Linked DNA regions of Danio rerio. The protein of the gene in region 2 interacts with the protein of the main gene of each other region in a pairwise test. Links are inferred from orthologs where the notes say so. Each region holds a gene or a part of one and is shown on either strand. Other genes may lie near its edges. The genes, in order: rabgef1, dazap2 and stam2.

The links.
Region 1: the proteins of dazap2 (region 2) and rabgef1 interact in binary tests that used the Homo sapiens proteins (3 or more experiments, as listed by UniProt). The two-hybrid records come from large-scale screens. The link is inferred for Danio rerio from reciprocal best matches to the Homo sapiens genes DAZAP2 and RABGEF1.
Region 3: the proteins of dazap2 (region 2) and stam2 interact in binary tests that used the Homo sapiens proteins (3 or more experiments, as listed by UniProt). The two-hybrid records come from large-scale screens. The link is inferred for Danio rerio from reciprocal best matches to the Homo sapiens genes DAZAP2 and STAM2.

The regions. Positions count from the first base shown.
Region 1 is NC_133185.1:37,879,224-37,883,516, reverse strand, and holds the start of rabgef1 (rab5 GDP/GTP exchange factor), read left to right. Parts: upstream 1-1,363; 5' UTR 1,364-1,373; intron 1,374-4,293. UniProt on the Homo sapiens protein: Rab effector protein acting as linker between gamma-adaptin, RAB4A or RAB5A. Involved in endocytic membrane fusion and membrane trafficking of recycling endosomes. Stimulates nucleotide exchange on RAB5A. Can act as a ubiquitin ligase.
Region 2 is NC_133198.1:36,683,807-36,687,463, reverse strand, and holds part of dazap2 (DAZ-associated protein 2), read right to left. Parts: intron 2,893-3,657; exon of another isoform or gene 2,089-2,892; intron 1,884-2,088; exon of another isoform or gene 1,314-1,883; intron 912-1,313; coding exon 783-911; 3' UTR 1-782. UniProt on the Homo sapiens protein: In unstressed cells, promotes SIAH1-mediated polyubiquitination and degradation of the serine/threonine-protein kinase HIPK2, probably by acting as a loading factor that potentiates complex formation between HIPK2 and ubiquitin ligase SIAH1.
Region 3 is NC_133184.1:39,754,661-39,758,965, reverse strand, and holds the start of stam2 (signal transducing adapter molecule 2), read right to left. Parts: upstream 2,865-4,305; 5' UTR 2,740-2,864; coding exon 2,700-2,739; intron 161-2,699; coding exon 76-160; intron 1-75. Other genes in the region: hacd2 (very-long-chain (3R)-3-hydroxyacyl-CoA dehydratase 2), read left to right, coding at 3,364-3,488.

The DNA.
Region 1 (4,293 bases), on a different chromosome or scaffold from region 2:
GTATTGCATTATTGTACTGGCTCTTATTGTGCTGATAATAAACCATATATTTTGCAATCTATTAAAAGCATTTGCCACATATTTTGAACGCTATGAGATTGTAACTTTATAAAAAAAATTTAATGTTTTTGTAATAGTTTTTTTTCTTTCTTTTTTATTATTGGATTCAAAAACAGTCAATAATAGAGTGCAGAAACTTGGAACATTAGAAAAAAATGTTGTTACAATCTGTGTTATACAGATAAGAAAGAAGAAGAAAAAAAAAACTTTTTGACTTTTAAAAGACTTTTTGTTTTTTATGCTCATTAAAAACAAAATATATGACTTATAGTCAATTTAAAAAATAGCCAGAAAATGATTTCCCCCCAAAACTTTACACATAAATTTACAAAAAACTTACCCATTATAATAAAACGATTAACAATGTACTGAATGCAAGATTTAGAGTTGTAATAAAAAAATATTACGCCAAAAGTATTTAAACAAATATCAACATTTGTCTTTATATGGTTCGGTCCAAAATAATTTAACAATTACATTCACAAGAAAAATGCACAATGATTTCTTCCAAGTCACAAAATATACTTTTGTTTTTTTTAAATATCTTATGTACTAATTTTTTTGTCTTTCAAAAACAATTTAGGCCAAACTCAATCCAAACATAATTTTGCACAAACTGACTAAGACATATCAGATATACAGTGAATCAAATATAAAGCCATAAAATTTACACAAAACAAAAAACTTATACAAAATACCTTGCAGACATCACAAAGAAACCATGTAAGGGGTTAAATAAAACCATATTCTTGAAACATATCATACAAATGTCTAGCCTTCTCACCCTTCATTACTTTTTAAAGCTTCTACATGGGTGGCAAACTCCCCTTTAAAGGCAATCAATTGAGGAGCTGTTTTCAAAATTTTGCATTTATGAATGAAGAATTAAGGTAAAATAAGTAAACAAATTGCAGTTAGGTCATCCTCTTTGATGTCCAAATGTACTCCAAATTCCACAATAATTGTTCCAACAAATAGAGGGAAACATTGAAATATATAGTTTTACCCAGTTGTCTGTTTTCAATATCTTGCATATATTTACTCACCAAACTATTACAAGGATAGCATCTATTTGAAATTTTATATGTAATTTATTTTACTTTGTTATTTAGCAAATACTTATGTGGAAGATTCCAAGTAACGTCTCAATTAATGTTATATGTGGACAGCCATTTAAAAGAAGAAGCTGGAATTGTTTTATGGTTACGTTTTCGTGAATGTTGACATTTCGAGATCAGCCCAGCCAGTGTCCCTCCCTCACCAGTCGCCTGGATATGACGTCGTTGTGACCCGGAGAAGAGACCGCTGACGAGGTACACGTCCTCTGTATTAAGATTAAACACTGTATTTTGCCATTCATCTCTTAAATATGTTGTTTTGCCTATTTATAAACGGAAAGTTGCAGAGTTATGCCATATACTGCCAACCAAGAGTTGCGTTTGTTTTTAGCCACGTAGCTGTTTTGCTAGCTTGATGTGTTGACTGCCTGCGGCGGGTTGAATGACATTTTGTTATTTTCGGTAGATAAAATATGCCTTATAAGATTAGTTTCTGCCCGCATGTTAAAATAACCAGACAAATAATTAAGTTACCTCAATTTACTGGATTTAAATGTCAAATAAGACATACAATTCTTAAATCAATATAAGTCAATCCAATATTACGCTGAGTTTAGTGTCATCTAAGTTAACTTTAGCTAATCAAAGTTTGTCCTTAAAGTATTTATTCATTTAAACTATAATAGATGTTTAATTGTTTCATTTTCTTTTTGGTTTGTTCTACGCAATTGGTTGATTGACATCAGATTTATTAATCAAGTTACTAATTTATTTAAGAAATTATTGACTTTAGCTTAATATTAAATAATCAGTAAAACTATTTATTTCCCTCCCATTTACCTCTGAAATATCAATCTTAGTTTTAATATGGTAGTATGAATATCTCATTACTTTCATTTTCATTTGTCATGCTCTTTAAATGACTCATCTCGTTGGCAGCAATGTTGATATCTGTGGTTGCTCTGCAAGTATTGTCTGCAGAGCAAATTGTGTAATGTAACTCCTGTTGACTTGCTTCATGCATGTTTAGTTCACAATGCCAGTGTTCGCAATAGCTTCATTGTACATAACCTTCCAGAATAAACAACTGTGTCAAATTCAGTCGCCAAAGAGATTATAAAGTATAACAGGTTAGACTTTTCAAAAGGGACTCATTGTTAAATACTAGTTAATGCATTAAGTGTCATTATCAGTGAGTAATAGCTACATTTATGAACTAACAATTGGAATCAGAACATTTTCAATCAATCTCAGGCATGTCATAGGCCAGATTAAAGTGAATATATTTGCGTTTGGAAATAATGACCTGTTCAGTCTTCAGCATTTGGGCGCATTGATGAACATCGCAGTAAATACCACAATTTGAATTAGGGTTGCACGATATTGGGAAAACTGACAGTGTTTTGTTTTCCTGTGATATTAAGTTAATTTCACCGAATGAAATGAATAGCTCCATTTGAGAAAAAAAAATTAGATGTTTATCAGGATGACTTTGTAGGGAAGTGTATCTGCATAAAATATAATAAATCAATCACAATAATTGATAAAAACAGTAGAGCAATGATACACATGAAACACAATTGTTGTCTGGGAGACTAGCAGTGTTCAGGTGCAGAAAATGAATAAGCAAATGAAAACGACACTATTGTCTTAATTGTACATAAGCTCAATTCATCTTTCTTAAAGTTAAACACATTTTTTTGTGACTGAATATTTTAATCTCATTTGAAATGGTCATACAGTCTCAGACCTTAAAAAACTATACACTTTTAGGCAACTTTACCTTACAAATAATACAAATGAGAAAAGAAGTATCTTTTGTGTTTTGAGTTTTGCATGCACTAAGCACTTTATTTCCACTTTGTACTAATAAAATAAGATGGGACTGAAAGTATCTAGGCAAGTAATTATTAATATTTGGATATGATACTTCTGATGGACTATATAAACTTTGCAATCACTCCAATAATAACATGTATTCTCAACTGTTACTTGCTTCTGGTCAAATATAACCCTGACTGGACATTACAGATCTTGTGATGTTACTATTGTGGATACATAAATTGGGATATCAGTGCTGAAAAGATACATTGTGCAACCCTAAATTGAATATTCTTTTTTAAATAATTTTTTTATTTATTTATGTATTTATTTTTTTATTGACAGTTAACAAACAAAAGTAACAGAGAAAAAAATATATATATAAATTTATCAGTATAAAATTGATTAAAAGAATAAAAATGAACCACACTATAAGCCTAATATTGTGCAACAAACAGTATATGATGTGCATAAACAATATATGATGTGCATTCATTTAACAAATTAAACATACAAAAGTCAGTACCGAAAGTTGAGATTGGCAGCATGGTGTATTAGGTAAAATTAATAATGATAATAAAAGAAAAAAGAAAAAAAATTAAAAGAGCAAGAGAAAAGGGGATTAAACTGAATATGCTAGGGGGGTGGCACATTCTTTAAACTTGCGGTTTTATGTCTGGAAGAGTTTTATGCTTGTGCTACATCAGGACTAGTACTCATCTGGAAAGTACAGACTAAAAGAGCAAGATTTTCAACCATTCATTCGACAGTACCTGCTTCAAGTTTCAGAGATTTGACATGCTCCATGAATGGCAAATAAATGTTAGAAAACTTGATCACTGGACCTTGACTATATTTATTTTTTTCTAATTTAACAAAAATAAGGCATCTTTAATCTATTGAGTATGGTATGGGGGTTGAGGAGACCTCCACTGCTACAAAACACACCACCTAGCCAATAATGACAGAAAAGCTGCTAATTTAGAAAAATAAACGGGTAACTCACAGTAAGGGAGTAGAACTCCAAACAGGCCATCGGAAAAGGATACATTTGAACAGATGTCATTTCTGAAAATGAATCAAAAACAGACTTCCAAAAAGGAAACAAGGTCCAAAACGTGAACTAGATTTGCAGGTTCAGCCTGACATATGTCACAGTTTGGATCAATAGCTGGGAACATGCAACTCAGTTTACACTTAAACCAGTAAACTCTGTGGACTACTTTGCACTGTAGAATCTCATGGCGAGCACATACAGATGATATATGGACCTTTTGTAACTAAATTGAATATTCTTAAAAGGCATTCTGAGTTTAAATAATGAATAATTATTCCCTTTAAATTGAAGTGTGCA
Region 2 (3,657 bases):
AAAAGAAAGAAATCCAACTTTTCTGAACCGGTTTTGTTGATCTTGTTCGCACTCTCTTGTACTGCATTTAGGTTCATTCATATTTAAATTCCTTAGCTTTTAAATAATGGTGCAATTTTGGCACCTGATAACATTTATATAAGCTTGCCCAAAGGTACAATACACCACTGTTGTTGTTGTTTCAGTTTGTAAACACATCTTTCTCTTTGATTTAGACGGCTTAAATTCGCATTTGACATATCTGGCAAGACCGTAATAATGATATGAATGAGCATGGATAAGCGTACTATTCAAAGAGAAAGGTTTGAGTGCATAGCTACTTTACACAGATGATCAAACTGACCGGGCAGTTTTCTTGGCATGATCTCTGGCTCTAAAACCAAAACAAAAGTAGTACTGTTAAAAAAAATGAAGCTGCAAGAGGTATGCCAGTTCCGCTAAAGGTAAAAATGACCTGGTTTTCACCTTAAAAGTCGTCTTCCCTCTATAACCAATAATTAAACGACACGTATGAGCAAACCTACAATTACCATGCGCTTTTTTAATTGTGAATACGCATTACACATTATATAATTGCAATATTACACAATCATATCAACAGTGGCGCATTGTACCTCGAGTAAGGGGCTCTAAAATATTACATTCCATTAGATTAAATCAGTATTGTGGCTTAGCCAAGCAGCCCCAAAGGAGGCAGGGGGGTGGGAGAACAGGTAAAGGGAACCAGGGGGTGGGGAGGAAGGAAGGAGGGCTTCGGTCCAGGCCCAGAGGGGTGTTCACTGTTACCAGATGGTGTAACCACCGCTGGAGCCACCCATGAAAAAGTTGCCCTTGCGCTGTGTCATCACGACATTTGCACCCTGCATGGCTGCCATCTGAGCCGCGTTAGGGAGGTGTCCGGGAGGTGGAGGCTTCAAAAGAGAGAAAAAGATGGACATTTTATATACACAATTCATTTTCAGTCACATACATGCCAGGGGAAAAGGTCATAGCAGTGCATTTGCATCTATTTGTCTCAGTTGTGCAAAATACAGTTTTCATGGATTTCTAAAATTGTCCATTTTGGATGGTAGACTTTGAGAGGTGACATTTTCAAGGTAGACCGAAACCAGCAAAATTCATAAGACCTTCAAATAGAGCCAGTGTTTCTCAACCACGTTCCTGGAGGACCACCATCTCTGCACATTTTCCATGTAACCAAACACACCTGAATCAGATCATCAGCTCATTAGCAGAGACTGAAATACCTGTAATAGATGTGACAGAGAAAGGAGACATCCAAAACGTAGTGTTGGTGAGCCTCCAGGAACATGGTTGAGAAACACTGAAACACACTGAACCAGGAATTTTCAATTTACTGATTTAATGATGACTAAAATGGCTAGAAAAGTGGAATACATCACTTTGTACCAAACTAATCTGTAAACACGTTTGGCATAGCCCCTTCTTTCAATTCTATTATGAAATTATAGTAGGAGATTGCAGATTTGTTCTATTTTGTCACTCAATTTTTAACACTGACATTTGTCAAACATTCATCAGAAATAGTCAATAAATTTAGCATTCACTTCAAATGAATACTAATTAATGATCAGTTGACGCCCTACAGGTTGAAAGCTTCTTGCATATCACGATTTCACTTTTTTATAGGACTCAAAATGTGGGAAATCATACTATTATTATGGCTAACATTAATGTAATGTATGTAAAAGTAATAATTGTACAACTTATATTTACATAATGATATAATCAACTGATAACAGGTCAATATAATACATTCCATGATTTCACACCTTAAGTAATAATAAAAAAATTTAAAAAACGAGTACCGATTCTGATGCTTCAAGCTTTATAATGCATAAAGCACAGCATTTCACCTCCAAGTATGTTACAAGTATGAGAGCTCTCCTAAGAGCAGGGGTGTCCAAAGTCGGTCCTGGAGGGCTGGTGTCCTGCTGACTTTAGCTCCAACATGCTTCAACACACCTGCCTGGAAGTTTCTACTATACCTTGCAAGAGCTTGATTAGCTTGTTCAGGTGTGTTTGATTAGGGTTGGAGCTATACTCTCCAGGACACCGGCCCTCCAGGACCGAGTGTGGACACCCCTGCCGAAGAGAATAAATAAAGGATGTTGCACATATAACCCTAAACATGTCTCTTATAGCCGTTTAGTGTGAACATGTCAAGGCCAGAAGCAGCTTCATAGAAAAATAATAGATAAAAAAAATTGTTAAGAAAATTGACTATCAAAACAATGCAAATGACGGAAGAATTCAACACCTCTCAACGAAGAAAGGTTTGGAGTGCATATTTGATGCATAAGTTAAAATGCACACCTATAATTCTATACATCTCTAAAGGTCTAAAAACATGGAATATTTCATATTGATTTTATCTGAAGTCACGATATCAGCAGCTTACACTCATTTGTGGCAAACCTTCATGTCGTTTTCGGGTCAAATCTGACCGATTTACAATTTAAAACACTCATAAAAATTGTGTTTTACATCTGATTGCCTCGAGGCTTTATGATATCCTTCACACTATGTACTTGAACATATAGTGATGATCCCCTCTTTCATTTTCATTCAATTTTGAGTGTTTTAATCAATTTTGTTACACCTGTGGTGTTCCTGGTCAAAAGTAACCGCCATATGAAATGAATGGGTCTTCAGATTGGATTCATCTATCAGATAGAAAACACCCACCCCATCTCAATCACTTACTCACTCACACACTTATTTTAGACTGATTTTTGTTTTGTTTTTGTGAGCTCATTTAAGAGCAGTTAGAAGCAGAATGGTCAATTTTGACCAGGAACACAACAGTAGGGTTAAAAGTATCTACTTTTTTATAGTGCAGTATTTAAATGTAAAGTGTTTATGTTTTAATCCAACCTCTTCTTTTTTGATTTAATTGCAAGTGTAAAAGATGTCATTTTCTAAATTGTTGACATGTTAAATTGTACATCATGCTTTGTCAAATGCCTCAAGATATCAAAACTTACACCTGTGACTAGTAGTAAAATTCAAAATCTCGAGAGAAAGTTATGAATTCATTGCCATATCAGCTTCATTTTAGAAATTTCACTTTTCTATAATACACAAACAATAAAAAGGACATCACAGTAATAAATAATAATAAAATAATTTTAAAAAATTAGATTTAAAAAAATCATTTTGAGATTTACTTTTGATAAAAATTCTAGTATTTTTTGAAGGATTCCCATTTAAAAATATTCCCTTTAAAGTCTCGCCACATATTTTATTTATTTATTGCCACATCAGCAATTTGTGGCAATTTCATGGCAAAGTCAATATACATAAAAACATCATATAGGACTTGATACACAAACAAATATATAAATAAATACAATTCACAATAACTGTTTATTAAAAGTTAAATATGATTTTATAAATAACTTCATCATGATGAAACTTTTTATTGAACATCTTTCAAAGTGTTTTCTTTATAAAATCTTGTCCTTAAACATTCACAATCTAATATGATGTGTTTTATGGTGAGAGCAGCTTGACAGTAATTACATGTTGGTGGAGATAAAAATAAGGATAAAAATCATTGACTGATAAAATTAAAAATAAAGCATTTCCATAGTATGTTTTAAATTATCCTTTGAGTAAATGTCTATGAGTGAG
Region 3 (4,305 bases), on a different chromosome or scaffold from region 2:
GTAACTACCTGGTAATAAAATTAGAATTTAGAAAAACTATTCATATATTGTTTGCGTGTTGATTTTTCAGCTCACCCATTTGGAGCTGTCCCGACACGGTCACAGATATCCATAATGAGGCCCCAGTCCTCCACTGTGTTGGTTTCACTAGTTGCTTTCTCTGAAAATACAAATGAGCATTCAAATGAGACTCTTAACGCAAGGTCATTCTAGAACCATATCAAAAAAACTGATAAGTGTTTGACAAACGTCTAAACCAGCAGGAGGAAATGTCTTCTCATTTACCATAAATGCTGTTAACAAAACACTAAAAAACTAAAACTAATAAAAACCACAATTTTAAAAAGAAAATCTTTTAGTTTTAGTTATCAGTTTTGCATCCCTGAGTTCGAAGGATAGGTTTATTGAAAATAAGATATGCATACCGTTAAGCAGTGACAGCCTGTTTTGCCTGTTATTTTACATTTACAGCTTGTCACAACAGGCACAACAGTTTCTGTCATAATCCACCAGCAGAAATTATTTGCCCCCTCCTTTAAGAACAAAGCAACTGGGCACATTTTTATGACTAATTCTTACTCGTAACAACGACGTCTTGAATTGCAACATCTAGAAAAGTACATATTCATGAATAAATAAATAAAATGAACAATAATAATATGCCTTAATTTCCTCCATAAAGGAACATACAGTTTCACACGTTTATATAAACTGAATTCTAAAAGGACAAAGCTTTGAAAATAAAACCAAAGATCATGCTATTGTGTGCTGTTAGGTTCCACGCCTTTTGACAACTGAGCTCCTATTAATCTTCCACCCATTCATGCTTACAAGAAATAAAAAATATAAATAAATCAAATAAAACATAAAATAAAACGTTTTTTTTTTTAAATCAGAAACTTTTAAAACAGGACATTTTGATCATAAGTATCAGCATAGTAATACATTATTATTTGTTATAATTACATTGTTTTAATTACAGTTATTTGTTATTATTTTATACTAAATTATATGAAACAATATTTTAATATAACATACAGAATAAATACCTGAATCTTAAGCTTACTAGAAATTAAAAATAAATATAAATAAATAAAATAAAACATAAAATAAAAACGTTTTTTAATTAAAAATGAACGTTTTGATCTTAAAATCAGCATGAATTATTATTAAAAATACACAATTATGTTTTATTATATTATTTTTAACTAGATTAATTTATTATTTTACACTAAATAATAATAAATAATATTATCGTAAACATCCAGAATAATAAAATCAAAGCATATAAAGAAAGTATTATTACAACTATTATTATTATTAAATTATTAAATATTAATAAATTATTATTATTAAATTATTATTACTTTTTTATATGACTTATTGGAGCATTAAAGAATTTTCATATTTCGTACTGAAGACCCTGCCACAAAAATATATATTTAAAAAATATTTTTGTCAGTAATCAAGCAATAAAATAAATTTAAAAACAATTTCAATATAATTTGAATCAAGGAGACATCCAAAAACAAAAAAACTTATGGTTTTGGTGTAGTTGTTTAAGGTTCCCTGTTTGGGCTTTTACTAACTTTACTTCATTGCCGTAGACTTCTATCAGTATGTTTTCGAATATCTTAATCTATTTGTTTATTACTATTCTTTTAATTATTTACTTTGAGCTGGCCTAATAGTAATAATAATTATAATATAATATATATATATATATATATATATATATATATATATATATATATATATATATATATATATATATATATACGTGTGTGTGTGTGTGTGTGTGTGTGTGTGTGTATTAAAATAAGCTTCTCCTGCTCACTAAGGCTGCCTTTATTTTTTGCCTTTATTACAGGACAAACTGTACAATTGTAAAATGGTATTGCACTATAAAATAACTGTTCAAAAGTACTTTATAATTTAATTTATTCATTAATTCCAGTGATTTTAAAGATGCTTTTTCAGCTTCATTACTTCAGAGTCACATGAGAAATCTCTCTAATATTAATTATTATGATTATTATTTTTTTATAATTAATGAAAAAAGTAATAAAAGCATTAATGAACGGAGTAATAATTTCATTTGAAACTACATACAATATTAACTAAAAAAATGAAGAATTTAATAAAAACTGACCTCAAACACTTGACCGGTACATATATATATGTGTGTGTGTGTGTGTGTATATATTTATAATTATCATTTGTTTTAGTATGTCTTTGTCGTTTATTCTTCAGTTTTTTATTCTTATTGTCACTATTATTGTTGTTGCCCTTATTACAAATATTAATATTATTCAAAAACCTGTATTCCTATATTTTGATTATTAAATGTATTTTCTTATGCACACTGCTATGCTGTCATCTACGTCATGTTTATTGTGTTGACATAATTCAAAATAAAAGAAATTTTGATGGAAAAAAGAATAATTTCAGCATTTAGTGTTCATCTAAAAAGTTCTTGAAATTCAAAACAACATCCCAAAGACACTGTCAGTTATCTATTTTACATTTGACAGCTTTAATAGTTAGATTTTGATAAATAAGTTATGAATGACCGATAAACAAAACAATAACAGAGCTCTTGAGGATCTTGCAGTGAACGGAGCGCTGCTGGATCGGCCCTTAGTTACTGACTTGTCAAGACCACATCACTTCGACAAAAACAACACTGCCAAACTCACCCACATCCTGATCGAACGGGTTTTGACCAAACAACGGCATTTTGTAACCTTTTCCTATGTGTCAAAGAAAAAAACTGAAGCGTATTATCTACGTAGATCGACGATTTATCCTTCTCTCATCCATTAAATTGCGTTCACTTCCACCAGTTGCTCTTCCGTAAACTTAGTAGACGAGCGCAATGCCTGCCAGAAAATACATCCAGGAAACTGTCAACATATTCTACATTTAAAGCAGCATGTTCACAAATTATATTAATACTCAAAATTTAACCAGTAAATTATTATACTTGTGCATATTTAAAAATATATATGTTTATATTTCAGACAGGCGCATAGGTTGAGTCAGAAGTGCGCTCTGACTTCAAGACTCGCACTGCCATCTAGCGGCTAGTTTAGATGTTTCTAGAACATCATAATTCACTTTAAATAATCTCAATATATTCACATACATTACTGTAATCATATTATTTTAGTTGTATTTGATGTAAATGCTTGCGAAAAAGACGACGCTAGTCTGTAACTGAAAAAACAAAGCATTGTTTACACTCTGTCCTCACCAGAGGGCGCTGGATTCATAAGCAGCTTTTTTACATGTCAGCAAGGCCACACGCCTTTATCCACCGGGACCATTGGATGATCCAGTCTTTCTAATGATAGTTCAGTCATGTCGGCACCTGCCATGGGGACCAGCAAAACAGCGCACAGTGAGTCCGGTCACAAGAAGAAAAAGGGCCCCGGAACACTGGCCACAGCATATCTGGTCATTTACAACGTGATTATGACAGCAGGGTATGGTGGAAATCAAATGCGCTTCCGTGCTTCTCTCTTCAAGCGTGTGTGTGTGTGTGTGTGTGTGTGACAGCAGAAATGAATGGTTGGATTTCTTCAGCCTGTATGACAGAATCGCGGTCACCTCCCCCATTGAGTCTATATTGTATTATTTAACACTGTTTAATTTGAAAGCTGAAACATTTCAACAAAGTTATTCTGCACATGTCTGCTGTGCAATCCAAATGCGGTGTAACGTAAAGCCTATTATCGCTTATTTAACTCGCCGTAGGGTTGGTGATGGGTGACAGCGAGCATTGGTTGTTGTTGCATGAATGCATTGTTCTTGTTTTACAGTCGCTGGTTTGTTTGGGCAGCGTTGTAACAGGGCTTGTAGTGAATTTAGTGTCTTTGTTAGTTTGAATGTAGCCTTGTATAGTTTGTAGACATTAGACTAGGCAGTGAATTAAGCGCACCTTAGACCTAGTAACCCAGAAACTGTTGCACAATAATGTCCGTTTCAGGAACTAATCGATTCGATTCGAGACAGCCGATTCGTTTCTAAATCACTCATCGTTGTTTTTTACATGAGCATATGTAATGTAAAGCTTATTTAGCAAATTCATGGCGAATGTGAAGCATTGGATATACTTTGTGACTATACTTTGCCTTAAATAAAAAAAAAAAAATAATGGATTTCTATTAATAAAATTATCCAAATCATTTGTTAAAATCACTTCTTTTAGTTTTTATTTGACCAGATTCTGTTGCATTATAATGATTTTATACAGCCGATTTATTTCTAAATCACTCATGTTTCTTTGACATGAGCATAATG